Regions from separate parts of the Mus musculus genome. Here regions 1, 3 and 4 are each reported to be linked to region 2. The links are microRNA targets in miRTarBase. Many come from high-throughput screens and were not tested one by one. Region 2 holds a microRNA gene; each other region holds the end of a gene's coding sequence. Distances are from middle to middle.
Evidence for each region. The annotated mature microRNA mmu-miR-30e-5p reads UGUAAACAUCCUUGACUGGAAG and lies in region 2 at 1,676-1,697, opposite strand. An mRNA with a match to its seed (bases 2 to 7 or 8) in the 3' UTR can be bound and repressed. Matches are read on the target gene's strand: a 7mer-m8 pairs with bases 2 to 8, a 7mer-A1 pairs with bases 2 to 7 and ends in A, and an 8mer does both.

Region 1: the mRNA of Chd7 is a reported target of mmu-miR-30e-5p. Seed matches in the 3' UTR shown: 8mer at 727-734 and 7mer-A1 at 1,518-1,524.
Region 3: the mRNA of Neto2 is a reported target of mmu-miR-30e-5p. Seed matches in the 3' UTR shown: 8mer at 663-670.
Region 4: miRTarBase lists Homer2 as a target of mmu-miR-30e-5p. The part of its 3' UTR that is shown has no 7-base or 8-base seed match.

What each region holds. Positions count from the first base shown.
Region 1 is chr4:8,865,986-8,870,049 of GRCm38, forward strand. Chd7 (chromodomain helicase DNA binding protein 7) reads left to right here. Exons shown (of 38, transcript NM_001277149.1): 38 at 1-2,464. The coding sequence ends at 670. Among named protein-coding and RNA genes, the nearest start is that of Gm46842, 43 kb to the right of the region's middle.
Region 2 is chr4:120,770,985-120,775,052 of GRCm38, forward strand. Mir30e (microRNA 30e) reads right to left here and starts at 1,713; the gene lies at 1,622-1,713. Nfyc (nuclear transcription factor-Y gamma) reads right to left here. Exons shown (of 10, transcript NM_008692.4): 5 at 2,688-2,783. Mir30f (microRNA 30f) reads left to right here and starts at 1,622; the gene lies at 1,622-1,713.
Region 3 is chr8:85,637,237-85,641,300 of GRCm38, forward strand. Neto2 (neuropilin (NRP) and tolloid (TLL)-like 2) reads right to left here. Exons shown (of 9, transcript NM_001357288.1): 9 at 1-3,880. The coding sequence ends at 3,300. Among named protein-coding and RNA genes, the nearest start is that of Mir8109, 62 kb to the right of the region's middle.
Region 4 is chr7:81,606,643-81,610,706 of GRCm38, reverse strand. Homer2 (homer scaffolding protein 2) reads left to right here. Exons shown (of 9, transcript NM_001164086.1): 9 at 266-4,064. The coding sequence ends at 454. It overlaps Gm44570 (a long non-coding RNA gene), which reads right to left and starts at 581. Exons shown (of 2, transcript XR_001778192.1): 1 at 154-581.

The sequences.
Region 1 (4,064 bases), 110 Mb from region 2:
CCCTCCAGGACTGGCCACAGCTGCCACCGCCGGAGGCGATGCGAAGAGCCCCGCCGCAGTGCTGCCCCTGATGCTGCCAGGGATGGCGGGCCTGCCCAACGTGTTCGGCTTGGGCGGGCTGCTGAACAACCCTCTCTCAGCTGCTACTGGAAACACCACTACTGCTTCAAGTCAAGGAGAGCCAGAGGATGGCACTTCCAAAGCGGAAGAGAAAGGAAACGACAATGAAGACGAGAACCGAGACTCTGAGAAAAGCACAGACACCGTTTCGGCTGCTGACTCCGCGAACGGATCTGTTGGTGCTGCTACTGCCCCGGCTGCGTTACCCTCCAACCCGCTGGCCTTCAACCCTTTCCTCCTGTCCACCATGGCCCCAGGCCTCTTCTACCCATCCATGTTTCTACCTCCAGGACTGGGGGGATTGACACTGCCTGGCTTCCCAGCACTGGCGGGACTCCAAAACGCCGTGGGTACCAGCGAAGAAAAGGCTGCTGACAAGGCCGAGGGAGGGCCCTGTAAAGACGGAGAGACCCTGGAGGGCAGCGATGCCGAGGAGAACCTGGACAAGACTGTAGAGTCCTCCATCTTGGAAGACGAGGTTGCACAGGGTGAAGAGCTGGACTCCCTCGAAGGCGGGGATGAGATAGAAAACACCGGAAACGACGAGTAACAGCAGCAGCAGTTCCACTGAAAGTGTTGAAAACTGTTGACAGGTGGTAGTCCTACTGTTTACACTCACAGTTAATGTTCATACCTAGTTTTATAAGCTGTTCTGTAACATAGTGTAGCAAAAAAAGAAGAGAAAAAAAAAAGAAAAGAAAGAAAAAAAAAAGGAAAAAAGTCCAAGTCATGTTATGCAGGTGTGTCCGAAGGTATCTTGGTCATAAGTATTGTGCAGTGCATTATTTATTATCCCTAGGAAGGATGAAATTTGAGAGGTGATCATGTCTTTTTAAGGAAACTTACATAATGCTCTGCTTTTTTCTTTGGGTACCACTGGTATTATAATAAAGAGCAATCTGTAACAGAGCGGCACTAGTGGAAGGAAGTGCTACTCAGAGGACGTATGAAGTTATATATTTAATTTTTTAATTTTAATTTTTTTTGCTGTGAAGGTCAAGATGAAATTTACCATACATATCATCCCTTGTTCATTCGTCTCCCTTTCTGACTTTATGGGGGTTCCCACATTTGCATACACACATCCATACACTCTGACAATCTCCACGTTAGTGTGAACGCCTCTGTCCCGAGGCTCAGCAATAATCAGGCAGCTGTTGAATGTGAAGGGTCCCTTTGGAAAACTAACCTTCTGGGAGGGTTCTTGCCAGACAACTGCAGTTCCATTGGCTTGTGGTCTTGTGATGCACTGGTAAAAACTAAATAAATAGAAGAGTAAATAGAAGATTGAGAGAAGTGAGAATCAGGTACCTTTTTTTTTTTTTTAAATTAAAGGACTTTGTTACTTTAGCCACAAAGCTAAAACAGCATTACCTCAGCTCTGAACTAGCCTTGAAGTTTACAGACAGGACTTTGTAAATGTTTTTCTTTGTTGTGATGTCCTTTGATTTTTTTTTTCTCTGAAAACTGCTATCATGTAAGATAAAATGTAAATTTCTGCCAACTGTAGTAATGATGCTTTTAATAAAAGTGACCCATGATATGCAGAGATGTAGTTATAGAATGCAGTGTACAGGGGAGCTGGTGTCCACTTTTTTTTTTTTTTTTAATTCGTAATAGCTGCAAATACAGCATTCTGGCATTCGGACTTTGCTTACCGTGTCTTCTCATGCTAGATTAGCTGTTAGTAACACACACTAGTTGTCTCCAAGACCAGATGGACAGGAAAACCTTGAATTACCACCTTCATGTAATTCCACGCCAGATATCTCAGCAGACACATACACACACACAAACCTCTTATTGCTCCCCTGAAAGGGCATCTGAGAGTAGGGCTCCTGAAAATGTGTGCAGCCTGTGATAATGGGGCACACAGTAGACAAAAGGGCAGAAGAAAAATGAGGCTTTAATAGGCACACTATCTAGGTCATTTATCCTTGGATAATGGGAAAAAAACACAATGTCGTAGTGTCAGCAAGGGACACAAAGGCATTCTGGTGTCCTGCAGACCAGAGCTTGATATCAAGAGCCAGTGTGTGGAAAAACCCACGTGGAACTAAAATGGACCCATTTAAGTGTGTGTGTGTGTGTGTGTGTGCGCACGCATGCGTGCACATTCACGAGCATGAACTCACATTCACCCAGTCTCAAGGACTACTAGATTATTAAATCCTTTATTTGTTTTCTACAATAAGGTTTAAATTATAAGACCTTTTTCTATGTCATTTCAGCAAACCCTATTTCCATCTAAGAAAGGAGTGATATACATGGAATTGTGCTTGTCTTTTACCTTCCCATACCCCCTTTACACACCAGTACATACCAGTGCACACACAGGTTATCCTCTACAGGGGACAGGCCAGCCTATCTAAATTCCTTTTGGACAGTGAGATTCCAGCTGACTTGTGTATCCAAGATGAAAATATGCCTATATGACTGGAAGAGGAGAAACTTGAAGCCACAAGAGTGGCAAAATCTTGAAGGCTAACCAGCCTGTGCTCGGTTAAGCAAGTGCCTTCTGAAATGGCCTCCTTTGACCATGGAAGTGAAGCTAGATCTGCGGGGAGCAGAGACCTTAAATGTTTAACGGAAACGCTTGAGTAGGGAGAGCTGGTTCAATAAACTGCATTACCAAAGGGTCTCTTCCTAAAATTCTGTTTACTGGAAAGTTCCTTGTCAGCTTCTGTGAACAGGGATGAGTGTGACTCTGTCCCTGACAGCACTGAGTGTCTCGAGTGATGCTGATCTTCAAAGCAGAGGTGTCTGTTGCTTGGCAGCAGTAAGAACTCTGAACTTAGAAATCAGCACCCGTTTTGTATTACACGAAGTCATTTAGAGTTCCACATTGGAAAATACATGTTTTCTTTCTTCCAATGGAAAGAAGTCATGACATCCTGAATCTATCTAAAAAATATTTACGATTCGGCCTAATGCTAACCAGTGTTTCCCGTGCTGTAAATGAGGCACCAGAGCACCAGTACTGTGTGATGCTTAATTCCACGAGGGAAGCCGAGAAACGGAAAGTAAGTGGCTCACACTGCATTGGAGGATGTGTGAACCGTGGTCCAACCGGCCCTCCTGAAGGACTGCATTGGTTTTCAAAAGAAAAATTATATGTGTGTGTGTGGGGGGGTGATCCAAAGTTTTTGGTGTTACTGTGTTTTATATATTCCTCTTCATAATTGCATAGTGTAGTTGAGGCTGAAACTTGAAAGAAGTGCTTTTTTTTTTTTTTAGTTTCTTTTTGGGGCAAGGTCTCTATGCAGCCTAGGCTGACCATATATTCACTTTCCTGCCTCTGCCTCCCAAATGCTGAGGTCATAGGTGTTGTGTTAGAAGTGTGGCTTCAGACAGACCACACCAGGCCAAACAGTTCCACGTGGTTTATGGTAGGAGAAAAGGGCAAAGGTGGCTGTGAAGGAGATGGGTGGGGGAGGGGAAGAGGGAGAGAGAGGTCAGAGGGGTCTGCCTTTTATTTAAATGGAGACCTAGTGGTGGGAAGTGAGCCAAATGGATTCTGGGAATATGGTGGTGGTTGTCTTGGCAACAGGTGTGTAGGTCACTGTTGCCTAGGTGTGATGTCACTGGGTCTGGAGCTGACCATGACACCAGCATACCACCCTTTTTATCATAGAAGAAAAGGGGGGAGGGGCAGGGGAAGCCAAGGAATTAAAGGGTATGGGGAGCCAGTCCTGATCCCGTAATAGGAGTGTGTTGTTACACAGGGAAGGAAGCCTGTGAAATTAGATCTGGAAACTGGAAATTTTCAGTCCCAGTTTGTGTGTTTGAATTTGAGTTTATGATGTGCCCCCCTCTCCCCCCCCCCCCCCCAGTATTTCTAGTGTATAAAGAAACCAAGTTCTTTGAAAAGATGAACTTGGTCCTGATAGACCCTGGTGTTGGAACCAAGCTTGGCCGGTACTCTAAGCCCAGACCCTTAACCG
Region 2 (4,068 bases):
GACAAGCATGGCTATTTTCAAATTGCTGTGATGGAAGGAGGCACAAGTAAGGTTCTTCTGCTTTATGAAGCACTCATTCTGCAAATGGAGATCAAGCCAGCAGGAAATGATGATGCTTGATTTAAAGAAATGGGTGAAAAGATAATGACATTTCAATGAGCAAGGAACTTTCAACTCATAGCTTAGTCGGGGAGAAGTCAACCCTCAACTACCATCTACTTGCAGACAATCTACTTACTTCCATGGCAAAAAAGAGAGAGGGAGACTCCAAATCATCTCTGAGAAGCCTCATAATCCAGTGTCTCCCTTTCCAGATGGATCAGCACCAAGCCCTAGGAAAACACCTGACCGAATAGGTCAGTACAGAAAGGTACCTGCTCCATGCTAACACTCAGTACAGAAGGGTACCTGCTCCACACTAACAGTGGCTTCTCCAGTGCTGAGACTGAAAAACAGTGACAGTGAACAAACAGTATCACAGCACAGGGTCATCACTACACTGATGAGCAGCCAGCTCCAGACTAGGGGAAAAAATACATTTGCTTTAGTGGCAGGGTGAACTGCTGCCTCCTTCAGAGGGTGTGTTTTGGAGAGTAGGCACTTTTAAAGGACTTTAGGAGGTGCCAGCCAATTTGGAGCTTGGGAAAACTTCATGTCTACAGAGAATTAAAAAATGCTATCTTAGAATTTCAGGCCAGCTTTCAGCAATCTCAACCTTTTAAATGCCAGGCAGCAGCTGTCCTGAATAGGATGCCAATCAATAGCTCAAACACCTACAAAGAACTAAAACCAGGCAGCTAAAGGAGTGTTCTTGCTGTATACCTTTTAAAGGGAGATGGACTAAGTATAGTGGTCCATGCCTTGAATCCCAGCACTCAGGAGGCAGAAGCAGATAGATCTCTCCGAGTTCCAGAACAACCTGGTCTACACAGTCTAGTCTAGCCAGGGATACACAGGGAGAGCCTATCTCAAAAATCCAAACCAAACCAAAGAACAAAAGAGGGAGATGGGGTAGACCACCAGCAAATCTAACACCCTGACAGACCCAGAAGAACAAACAACTTTGGAGGAAGGTATAGGTCAGCAGCTCTCAACCTGTGGGTTGTGACCCCTTTGTGGGATGGAAAGATCCTTTCACATGGATCACCTAAGACTACTGAAAAACAGATAGTTGCATTAAAATTCATAACAGTAGCAAATTACAGTTATGAAATAGCAATGAAAAAAATTTTATTGTTGGGAGGTTATTACAACATGAGGAACTGTATTAAATGGTGCAGCATTAGGAAGGCTGAGAACCACTGGTATAGGATAATAACTTTCTCTTTAGTCATCTATTCAGCAGGCAGCCCATAGTGAACAATCAGTACAATAAGAGCAATGCCTGACTGCATCACAGATCTTACCACCTTGTCTTTAAAGGAAACTCCTGGTGGATACATGGGAGCAAAAATCCAATAAGGAAAACAGGCTCATGGTATTATCAGCTCCAAACGAAGAGAGACAGTCTGAGTTCTTGTGACTTCTCAGAGAGAAAGGAAGTAACCCAAGAAAAGGAGACAAGTTCATGGGCACAAACCTGCAATGTCTCAAAGCCGATGAGCGCAGCCGGGGACGACTGTGGCAGCCTGCCGCTGTAAACATCCGACTGAAAGCTCCTCTCAACACCTTACAGCTTCCAGTCAAGGATGTTTACAGTAGCAAAGACTGCCCAGAAAAATAAAGAGCTTCAGTGAGGCACAACCTGCTCCCATAAGGAGGTGACCCAGGGCTTGCTAACCCAAAAACCCTCATGCAGGGTCAGAATTAATGTCAATTAGGATGCCCACTTCTCCAACAGGTTTTCTGACTGGTTATTTGTACAGGTCAACATGGGGAGAATGGTTGTCATTAAATGACTCTAAACAGTATACTACAAAATAATTAGTTAAAAACACTTATATTTTATGAACAAAAATAAAACAAGCAGGACATGGTATGGCTTTACTTCTCTGAGGCATATTACACTAAACCTAGTGAATCATGCAAACTGCGTGCCTGAAACAATGAGCTCTATAGGACTGGGGTCTATCACAATCACAACTAAGTTATATGCACCCAAGTGCTGAACAAAACAAATGGTGTGATCTTTGGAGATGAACAGGCAGAAGAAGGGCAGACACTTAGTTCTTGTAATTAAAAAGAAAAATGTAAATGGTGGTTCTAAAACTTCACTGGACACCAAAGCATCTAGGGAACTTTAATTATTGATTCCTGGGGTCATGGGGTCATAGGTTCTGACTCAGTGGATGATGGGTAGAGTCATCACACTACAGAGACACAGCATAGAGTAAGAAAATAAAAGCCACTGGCTCCAATCTGATCACTATGCACAAAGAGGTTGTTTCTTAGAATCTGAAAACTGACTGGCTGAAAAAGCTTTTATTTTAGATGAAGAAATCCTGAACTGAGCTTCACCCCACTATCTGTGACTAGTCTTTTTAACTTTGTTCTCTCACTGCAACCCCACCCCAGAGGCACTGAGTTAAAAGTACCCATAAATGAGTAGAAGGAGATGCTGAGGATGATCTGGACTACGGAAGAGAACCACAAACAAGAAATGCTTTGGGTGGGAGGGAGGGAGGAGCTCCGGAGAGCATCTTGCCCAGGCCCTGGAGGTGGCAGCTGAGCAAATCCTCCCAGCTCACCTGGCGCTTTGGAGGTTTCAGTTCATCTCTTGGAACAATATCGATGAGAAAGTCGAACTGATCAAATTTTGTAATTGCCATGGCAATATCATTCCTCTGTAACAAAGAAAAACAAAGTTAAAAACTGGCCTAGGAAGAATCTAGTTCTTTTGGCTGTTATCCTTCAAGTAAAAGGACATGATCCTCTCCTATCCCCTAGTCCCAGTGTCTGGGATTAAACCTAGAGCTTTACACAAGCTAGACAGGTATTCTACCATTGAGCTATGCCCCAGCCCAAGGAGATGACTTTTAGACTGTACTAAAAATCTCTAGGTTTGTCTAGAGCTAAAAATAAGAACAGCTCAATTTATATCAGACTTGCTGGACAGAAATCAACGAAAGAGATACACATATCTCGTGCTCTAGGCCAGGACATCTGAGCCCTACTCACCACTATTTCTGCTTGTTCTGGTTTCAAAGCTTCCATAAAGTTGTAAAACCACCATCCTCTGGCTAATTCAGGACAAAGCCAGCAGTCTCAACTGGCATTCTGTGGTCCACAAGGTCAGCCCATCATTCACTTGTATGATCTTTTTAAAGGCCCTAAGCACTGTTTGTTGTTGTTGTTGTTGTTTTTCTTTTTACAGGCACTTATAATCCAGTCGCTTGATTTTTATGTTACCTATGGGTTTTAGTTTAGAAATCAAAACTGCACTGCTTAATGAATAGTTTAATCCGAATTTGAGCCTGAATACTCAAGCCTGAATTTACTATAGGTAGGTAGTGAACACAGAGCTGAAAAGAATGTCACAAGTGGACTTTCTCTTCAAGTCTGATATTATTCCCCTTCCTTTGAATAATAAAAATCAACACTTTTTCTCCCATATGATTTGTGTACTTTATTGAAAGTTTTAAGGTTAAAAAAACAAAAACAAAACCACTAAGCTCAAGTGAGTGATATAGTTAAGTATATATGGGAAAGTAATTTTTGAAATGTATTTAAAAATAGATCACTTTATGGCTGAAGTGAGAGGTATGATAAATTTGTTTTTCTTACTTTATTTATTTATTCATTCATTCATTCATTCATTCATTCATTTCCCCCCTTCCCTTCTTCCTCTTGCTCCTGGGCCCCACTTGCTCCCGGGACCCACTCACTCCAGTCCATAGGTTTTTTTGTTGTTTTTGTTTTTTGTTTTTTAAAAGTATTATTATCTGTTTCTCATTATGGATGGTTGTGAGCCACCATGTGGTTGTTGGGATTTGAACTCAACATCCAGAAGAGCAGTCAGTGCTCTTAACTGCTGAGCCATCTCACCAGCCCAATTTGTTTGTTTTTCAAGACATGGTTTCTCTGTATAGCCCTGGTTAGTTATCCTGTGGCCTGCTAAAGTAAAACTTT
Region 3 (4,064 bases), not on the chromosome of region 2:
TTCTGCAGGTGCCAAGGAAGTCTGGTAACAAAACTGATGGGATAACAGTGTTATATAAATTAAAAAGGGAGGGTGAAACCCCCTTTGTATACAAAATTACAGCATTACATTTTAAGTAAGCATAACTAACAAGTTTTGCATGGAACATCTAGGCTGATGTTTGGAATTATGTGACTTTTAAAAGCTAAGCAGGGAGAGAAGAAGCCAAGGAAGGTTACTGGGCTAGGAGGATGGAGCCATGGGGAGCTACTTCACCATCAGGGTTTTGTCTTCTCATTGACAAAACTAGACTAGATCATCTCTCTTGGATCTTTAAACAGAACAAAATAAAGTTCCTTCTGTCCACAATCAATGTGATTCAGGCACATTTCTCTTAACACTTGTAGTAAATAAAAGTGGGCATATGGCAGACATCATTTTGCAACAAAGTGTAATCTCTGAATGTTAATTATTCCTGGAACTACAAGCAGCCTTTTCTCATCTTAGCTGATATGTTCCTGACCCAAGCAAGTACCATCATTAGGTAGTATCCAAAGTATAGAAATGTTCAGTGCAGACTGCAGTTCCTTAATGCTTAGCAATGATACAAAACGCATGTAGGAGAGTGACAAAGACTCTCCTAAAGCAAAGCTAAGGGAGCCTTTCAGATCCATGATGTGAAATGTAAACATCCTTTGGTTTTTGTTCAATATTTATATTGATAACTCTCTTCTGCAAACAAATAACAGTTTATTCCCATGTCTTTGAGACAGTGGGATGTGTAGGTTGCAGTCTGTGGCTACTTGGGAGCTGACAGCTTGTAGTGAACTTGGGATGAACGACAGCAATGTGTTGGTATCATATAGTTTGTACTTAGTACTTTCTTGCACTGGAGATTTTTACTATCCTCTGGCTTTGCATTTTTCACTGAAGGGTGTGTTTAACACAGGTACTTTGTAGGGTATAATAACTCACATAAGACAGCTTAACTTCATATTTGTTACTGCTTAAGTTTATGGCTTTCACTTTAGCCTCTGAATATAAGTGTTTTCTACTGTGAAAAGGATCAACTTTCTAGTTAGAGAATTTAGAACCAAATGATCACCCGAGTTTCTCTTGCTGATGCATGAGATCATGCAAATTTACATGGTTGGAATGTTCAGTATTTTGTACAAACAACTGTTTTGTAAATCCCTTCAAATTCCTTTAAAATAGAATAGTGTTAAAAATAAAAATACACCTACAAGTGATCATGATGTATGAAGGCATACTATAAACTATAATCTTAAAATTAATGATGAATATGACAACTATTTTTATAGTGGATATAATTTATAAAATTGTTAATTTTTATTTCACTATGGTATCATAGCTATCAATTTAAGTATTTACTATGGTGTTGGAGTGGTGGCTGGTCTAAGTCACATAATAAAATGCTTATAGTTACTGAAAGAACATTTAATTTTTCTCTGGATAGTTCAGTGATTACTATGTTTTGAGATTCCTTTTACTTTTCCAAGTTCTATTTTACAAAGCAGGAACATCTACTGACTTAAAAAATTAAGTCATGCTTATGCCAAGGGTAAGTTTTCCCAATATTCTTGATATAATTTCCTTTTTAAAAATAAAAAAAATGTCATACAGAAAACACACTTTGGTCAGAAAGTACATCACACTAAAGGTCAAAGTTTTTAGTAATCTGAGAAATCAGATTTATGTAGTACTTAAAAAAATAAATGAAATCTAGTGAAACCTCAACTTTTCATTCATTGGAAATTTAGTTCAATATAGAAAATGAGAATTTACTTCTTTAAAATGGCATTATCTCTATTGGTTATCATTAAATATATGAATTCTTCCTCATCTATATCTTATTCAAAGGATTCCTGCTATAAATAATATAATTGAAGGATCATGAATTAATGTATACTCTAATATAAGATTTCTGTTGTGATTTAGAACAATAAATACCACACAGTGAAAAACTTATTACCAACTAACACAGCAGCAAAAGAAAGAAAAATGTATGTACATATCACCATGAGCAAGGTCTTTATAATAAATTACAGTACAGTCCCATCACAGTATTCTTCTATATAAAGTCACTACTGTGAAGACTTAAAGAAATTGTCTTGTATGTCTTAAATCTTGATCTAATAAAGTTTATACAATATCAAATAATATCAAAAGTCTAAAAAAACACAATGAGTTTTGATACCGTGTTTATAAATTATTGTTTTATATACTTTAAAAAACATAAGGTTAAAAGTGCAGCTTAAAAAAAAAGTTGAAATTGCTCTTCTCGATAATGGGTAGAAAAATGCACTGTTTCAAGCAGAAGCTATGTAAAGGCTAACACAGTTTCTCTGAGAATTTCTTTAAGCTTCCACCAACCATGGCCATGTCCAAGACAAACCAATACCAAGAGAACAAAGAAATCGTTTTGAAAGATGATAGGGAATAAGATCTGAGAAGCTCTGCATGGAGCCATAATTAAAGGTCTGCTCACAGGTGAGTTCTAGGACCCTGATTACTGTCACTGAATTGAGACCCAGTGGGGAAAACTTCAGAGGTTGCTACAAGTTTTTAATCTTTCTCAAAATTCTGTTCATGTGTATCTGGTAATAATATACCCTAGGATTCTTACTTTTTTAGTATAACTAAGATGAAACATGATTAAAGGTGATAAGTCCTACTTCCCATAGAAAAGCAGAACTAAAGATGCAGTTATTAAAGACAACAGTGTAGAAATCAGTCAGGAAGAAATGAAATATGACTGCATCTTAAACTGCCACTTATTACAGTACTAGCCGTATTACACTCATTTAGGAGCAAATGCATGGCCATGCTGAATTGAGTGACATATTATCCCCGTCTGCAGGAAACTGAAATGGTAAAACCACAGGCAAAGAAAACATAACAGAAAAAAGAAGGACAAAAGGAATATAAAGAAAAAACTTTTAAATTTACTGTGAGATCAAGTTGATGGGGCTGTGCAGACACGCACAGTGCCTGGTGTTCACAGCACCGGGCTGCTCTGCCTGACTTAACATGCATGACCTGCTCCTCAGCTGCTATTGCACTGGTGGTGTTTTACAGGTTAAGATACCAGCAACAGATGATGCCTTCTTTCCACTGAATACATTTAAGTTTCTTAGTTGGTTTCACATATATAGATTGCCTGAGATAATAAAATCATCAGCATTATGATAAGTTATGAAGGGCTTTCTAAATTTGATAGAACAAGATTGGATGCGGAGATAGAATGAGTGTTGGTGTAGGCTGCATACACACTTAACAATAATGCCTTTAGTCAGCAATTAAAAGTCGATGGATATGGATGCTTGTGCAGAATCGTCTCGCCCTCTGACATAAATTTCACAGGGAATCTCCTCCATCACTCTGTCCTCTAGAGCCTGTTCAGGGCACTCATGAGCTTGTTTGAAAGTGTAGCTGCTTTTTTTGAAGGTGCTATTAAATGTTTTCATTGGCTGTGGTTGTGCAAAATCATTTCGGAAGGGAAGTTCCATGGAACTGAGGTTGGTCCTGCTTTGTTTCACACTGGATGCTTGTGATCCACAGTGGTGGTCGTGAATGCACCGGGAGGCCGTGGAGGAGCGCCGCAACTTCTGGTAGTTGTCAAGTTCTTCTGACAAATCTGCCAGATCTGCAGAAATCTCTTTCTCTCTTAGTGAAAATAGTTCATAATGAGGAGGATCAAATACTTCCTGGAACCCAGTTTTATTAAATGCAGTTTTGCAAGCCATAACCTTTTTCCGGGGCTGTTTCACTTGTACTAAAATAGAAATAATGAGAAGGACCAAGACAATTCCTGATGTAATGCCAATAATTGTCCCATGAGTTTTAGTGATTTGTTCAAATAGTCCAGCTTTTTTCTTTTCTGTAAGAAAGAAATGTTGAGGTTTTTTTTTTTTTTTTTTTTTTTTTTCCCCAAAATTCACTTATAGGAGTTCCAATATAGATTGGCTAGTTATTTTTAGACGAAATAGGAGATTTGGGTCAAATATACCAGACCCTAAAAACCTGGTTTTTAAACAAATAGAAAATATTATTCCCATGATTTC
Region 4 (4,064 bases), not on the chromosome of region 2:
GTCTGTCCTGGCTTTGGTAGGATATAAACGAAAGGACGGGGCCTCCGATTTCTGGTTCTCTTTTGGAACTTCTGTGAAGCCCCCTTGTGCAGGACTCTGCATTCTGCATTTCTGGGGTGCTCAGACCTTCTAATCCTTCTCTAGGGAAAGTACCAGGTGGCCCCCTTTCTGACTTGAGTGGTGAGCGTTTGTCAGGGTTCAGCCGTTTTCATGATGGTTCCATCCGTCACTGCCTTCTAGATCCTTCTCCCTTTTGTCTCATCAGGCGGCCGAAAGAGACAATCAAAACTTGGAAGACAAAGTGCGGTCTCTAAAGACAGACATCGAGGAGAGTAAATACCGACAGCGCCACCTGAAGGGGGAGCTGAAGAGCTTCCTTGAGGTGCTGGATGGAAAGATCGACGACCTCCATGACTTCCGTAGAGGACTCTCCAAGTTAGGCACAGATAACTAGGGCGGGGCGGAGCAAGTGTGTGTGAGAGGTGTGGTAGACGTAGGACATTCTCCATTTGCTTCTGTAAATGCAGGTGCGATCTGTCTGTCTCCAGACCAATTGTGCCGTCCGCTCACTCCTCCAGAATAGGAAATCTCTCGCTTCTCTGGCTTTGTGAGGTCATGGACAGCTGGAAGCTTCTGACTCAGGAATCCAGAACTTGGTCTACCTTAGCCGTTTACGCAGTCAGGGCAGGGATGTTTAGATCTTCCCTTAAGGGCTGTTGTAACCCTATGAACCGGGGATGGGGGAGTATTTTCTAATCCAAGTACCATTATCCTTTACAGCAGGCCCTCGGGTGCCTTCTGCTGCGTGGCATTCAGTGTATGTGACTCTCCAGCAGGTTCTAGACCACGGGCATGTGGAGGGAGCATCTTTTCCCAGTATGCATTTTGTTGCTTTAGCAGATGTGACATGACATTGTCAACCACAAAGTTCACACTCAAAAACTGCACAACTGACTTACTCAAAAAGAAATAATTGTAAAAAAAAAAAAAAAGTTTTAAGTAAATACACTATTTTGGGTTGGAGCACATTCACGGTTACCCTTGGCTGCCTGTGACCTTTGGGCTGTAGGTCAGACATACCTACTTGAAAGGAAACATTTAGTGGAGACCTCTCTAGAGGGAAGATAAACCAGAAGTTTTGGGGTGTGCGTACTGACAGGGAATGACTAGTTCCTGCTAAGACCCATCCTCCCCTGATTTATTGTGATTGCAGCAATGTTCTTGTTTGTTTGTTTGTTTTTTGTTTTGTTTGTTTTTGTTTCTGATTTCAGAGCAGATGCTTAAGCTGTGGGAACAGAATGCAGGGAGGGTGTCTAGCGGAGTCTGGGCACTTAATAGGTGCTTAATAAACATTCGTTCAATTAAACATATAAGCAGAACTTAGTGTTTTAATCAAACCACACAGCAGAGTTCAGACCCTTGTTGAATAACACATCATCTTTGTTGTGCTGAAATAATTCTCAGAAATGAATGCAGTTTGCTGTTCTCAAACCTAGACTTGGCTCTGAGGCACAGACTGTGGCAATGTAATCATCATAGACTACTCTGAGGCCCTCCTGCAGGGACCCCAGCCACGATCCTGGAGGACATTGCCTGTGGGACCTTCCTTCTCTTCCAGGCAGAGGGCCTGGAGTTGGAGACTTTCTGGATACCAGGAGAGCATTGTATAGGAGCTAGCCTGGGCTTAGAAGACAGGCTGGGCTTCCTGTAATAGGTTTGAACAATACAAAGCCATCCTTCACGCCATGAGGATGAGAGCCCCTCAGGTGGCAGCTTAGCCTTAGAGACAGAGATGCTCCTCCCAGGTCTGCCTTCCCTTTCCCAGTTCCTGCTAAGGAAGGGCCTGCAGCCAAAAAGCTCTCTGCTCACAGAGAACTTCTTAAAGGAACCATTGGACTTTCAGGTCCACAGGCATTCCTCTTTAGGAGAGTTTGCACACAGGAGGCAAGGTTTGTTAACCCTGACCCCCAACACTTCAGAATGCCTTGAGCAAGGGAAACGTTGGTTCCCTACCCATCTGAGAACCCTCTAGATGTATCCACATGGGATCAGAAATTCTTCCTCTTGAATGAGAAAACAGCCTGAGGACAGGGCTAGGGTCGGCACGTTTAAGACCCAGGCCCTGTGGCGACTTCCAAGTCCTCATCTTTCCTTGCAGTGGCTGATGAGTCACTCTGAGCAAGGAATTCGATCGGGACAAAAAAAAAGGAAGGAAGGCTGGTGATGTGGAAGGCTGAGTTCTGTTAGGGGGTGACCCCATCAATTTGGGATGCTTTATACAACAGAGTGGTCACCTCTGATGTAATTCAGCCAGGGTGCTGCCGTTCCCCACAGCTCCCAATAGTTCTCAAGTCAGTAGCAGCTGCTACTGGTGCACCAAGAGAACATAGACTGGGTTAGCTATGGCCCAGCATGGGCTAAGGGGAATTCTTCTTAGGCCACCCCAGCCCCTTTGCCTACCAACAGCCTGGACACATGGCTCCCAAGAGCAGTGGACACTGGGGCTGTCAGCTCAGGCTTCAGATGAGCTTCCATTATCAGGTAGAAGGAGCGCTCTCGGCTGGCTGGAGTATGATCTGGTGACATGACCATATGAGGACACTTGCTAAGGCTACTGAACTGGAAGTGTAGAAAGTTCTAGAAGTTATGAGCCCAGTGGGCTGGCTGTAAGGTTGAGACCCATGACCCCTGTTGTTAGCACTGGGGGCGTGGGGGGGTTAGCAAGTTTCTAATAGCCAGTAGGTGGGGGAAATAGTTTTTGTACTCTTGGATTCAAGCAGCCCCCAAACTGTCACAACCCATGATCCTAAGACACTAGGACGCCCCTGAAGAGTGATTTAGGCTCCACAGCTAAAGCCCCAAGCAAGCACGGAACCTCCCTTTCATCTGCTTCCTCTAAAGACATCATGATTCTTCATTTTCTTTCTTTTTAAGAACAGTCATGGCCCAGGAATGGCCTGGAAGGTCAACAGTAGGCTAGCCCTGTCTGTAGCCTCTGGCACTGTAAAAGGCAGACTCTGTACGGCGCAAACGACCCACTAAAATTGTTCCGTATCCACTCACACTAGTGGGACATACCTCCATTTTTTCTGATGTCCAGCCCAGTCTTAGGACTGTTGTCGTGGCCTCAAATCCCATACAGATGGTGTGAGCTGTTTTCCCCCAGCAATTACGGCCACAGAGTGCTGCCTGCAGAGCCTGGAGTCAGATGAGCTCTGGCCTTGGCATCTCTGAGACTAGCAGTCTGCACCTTGCTTAGCTTGCATTCTGCAGCCATCCACATGGAACCTAAAAGAGGCCAAGAAAACCTCAGAGCCCTTTAGCCGTGATCCGCATGCATTTCTGACATGAGCTGGGGTAGGGTGGTGCCTAGGAATGAGAGACCGCTGGAAGGAAGGATTGGGAGAGAAGAAACAGCCCGTGCTTGACCTCTGATCATCTCCTTCCATTGCTTCTCCCCAAGAGCTGTCACTTTAGACCTTAATTGGGTGAGAGAACTTGGCAGAGATTATCAACAGGAAGTGGAGGCAGAGTAGCCCAGAGTAACCCAGCTGTGGCCAGCAGCGTGGGCTCTTGGGTCTCCTGGACCTTGATCCGCTGCTCTCCTATGAGCCATATTGTCACTCTCCCTTTGGTGTCCCTTAGGTGCCAAGAAGAAATAAATACTCCTCTGCCCTACTAAAAGCATGTTGCAACTATATTAATTGGAGTGTGTGTCCACAGCAAGGAATAGCCGACAGGGACACGGCAGAACTGTCCACCATACACAGTAAAGTCTGTTTCCTTTGAATGATTCTGCTCTGTAGGGATCTCTTCAATGATCTCTGTGCTTGGTGAGGCCAGTTTGGTGGAACACTGTCTGGCTTTGAATTCTTTGCTGATGACTTTAATGAAGGTCCACTCACGTTTTTAAAGAGGGGAGGAGGCCTTTGATGGCAGAGACATAAACAGGAACAGAACAGACGAGCCACAGTTGGGGAGGTGCAGACTCATCCAGTGCCTAGAGCAGTTTGCATGCATGCCTGGCTGTCCACAGAGGGAACTAGCTGCTCTCCAGCCTGCTT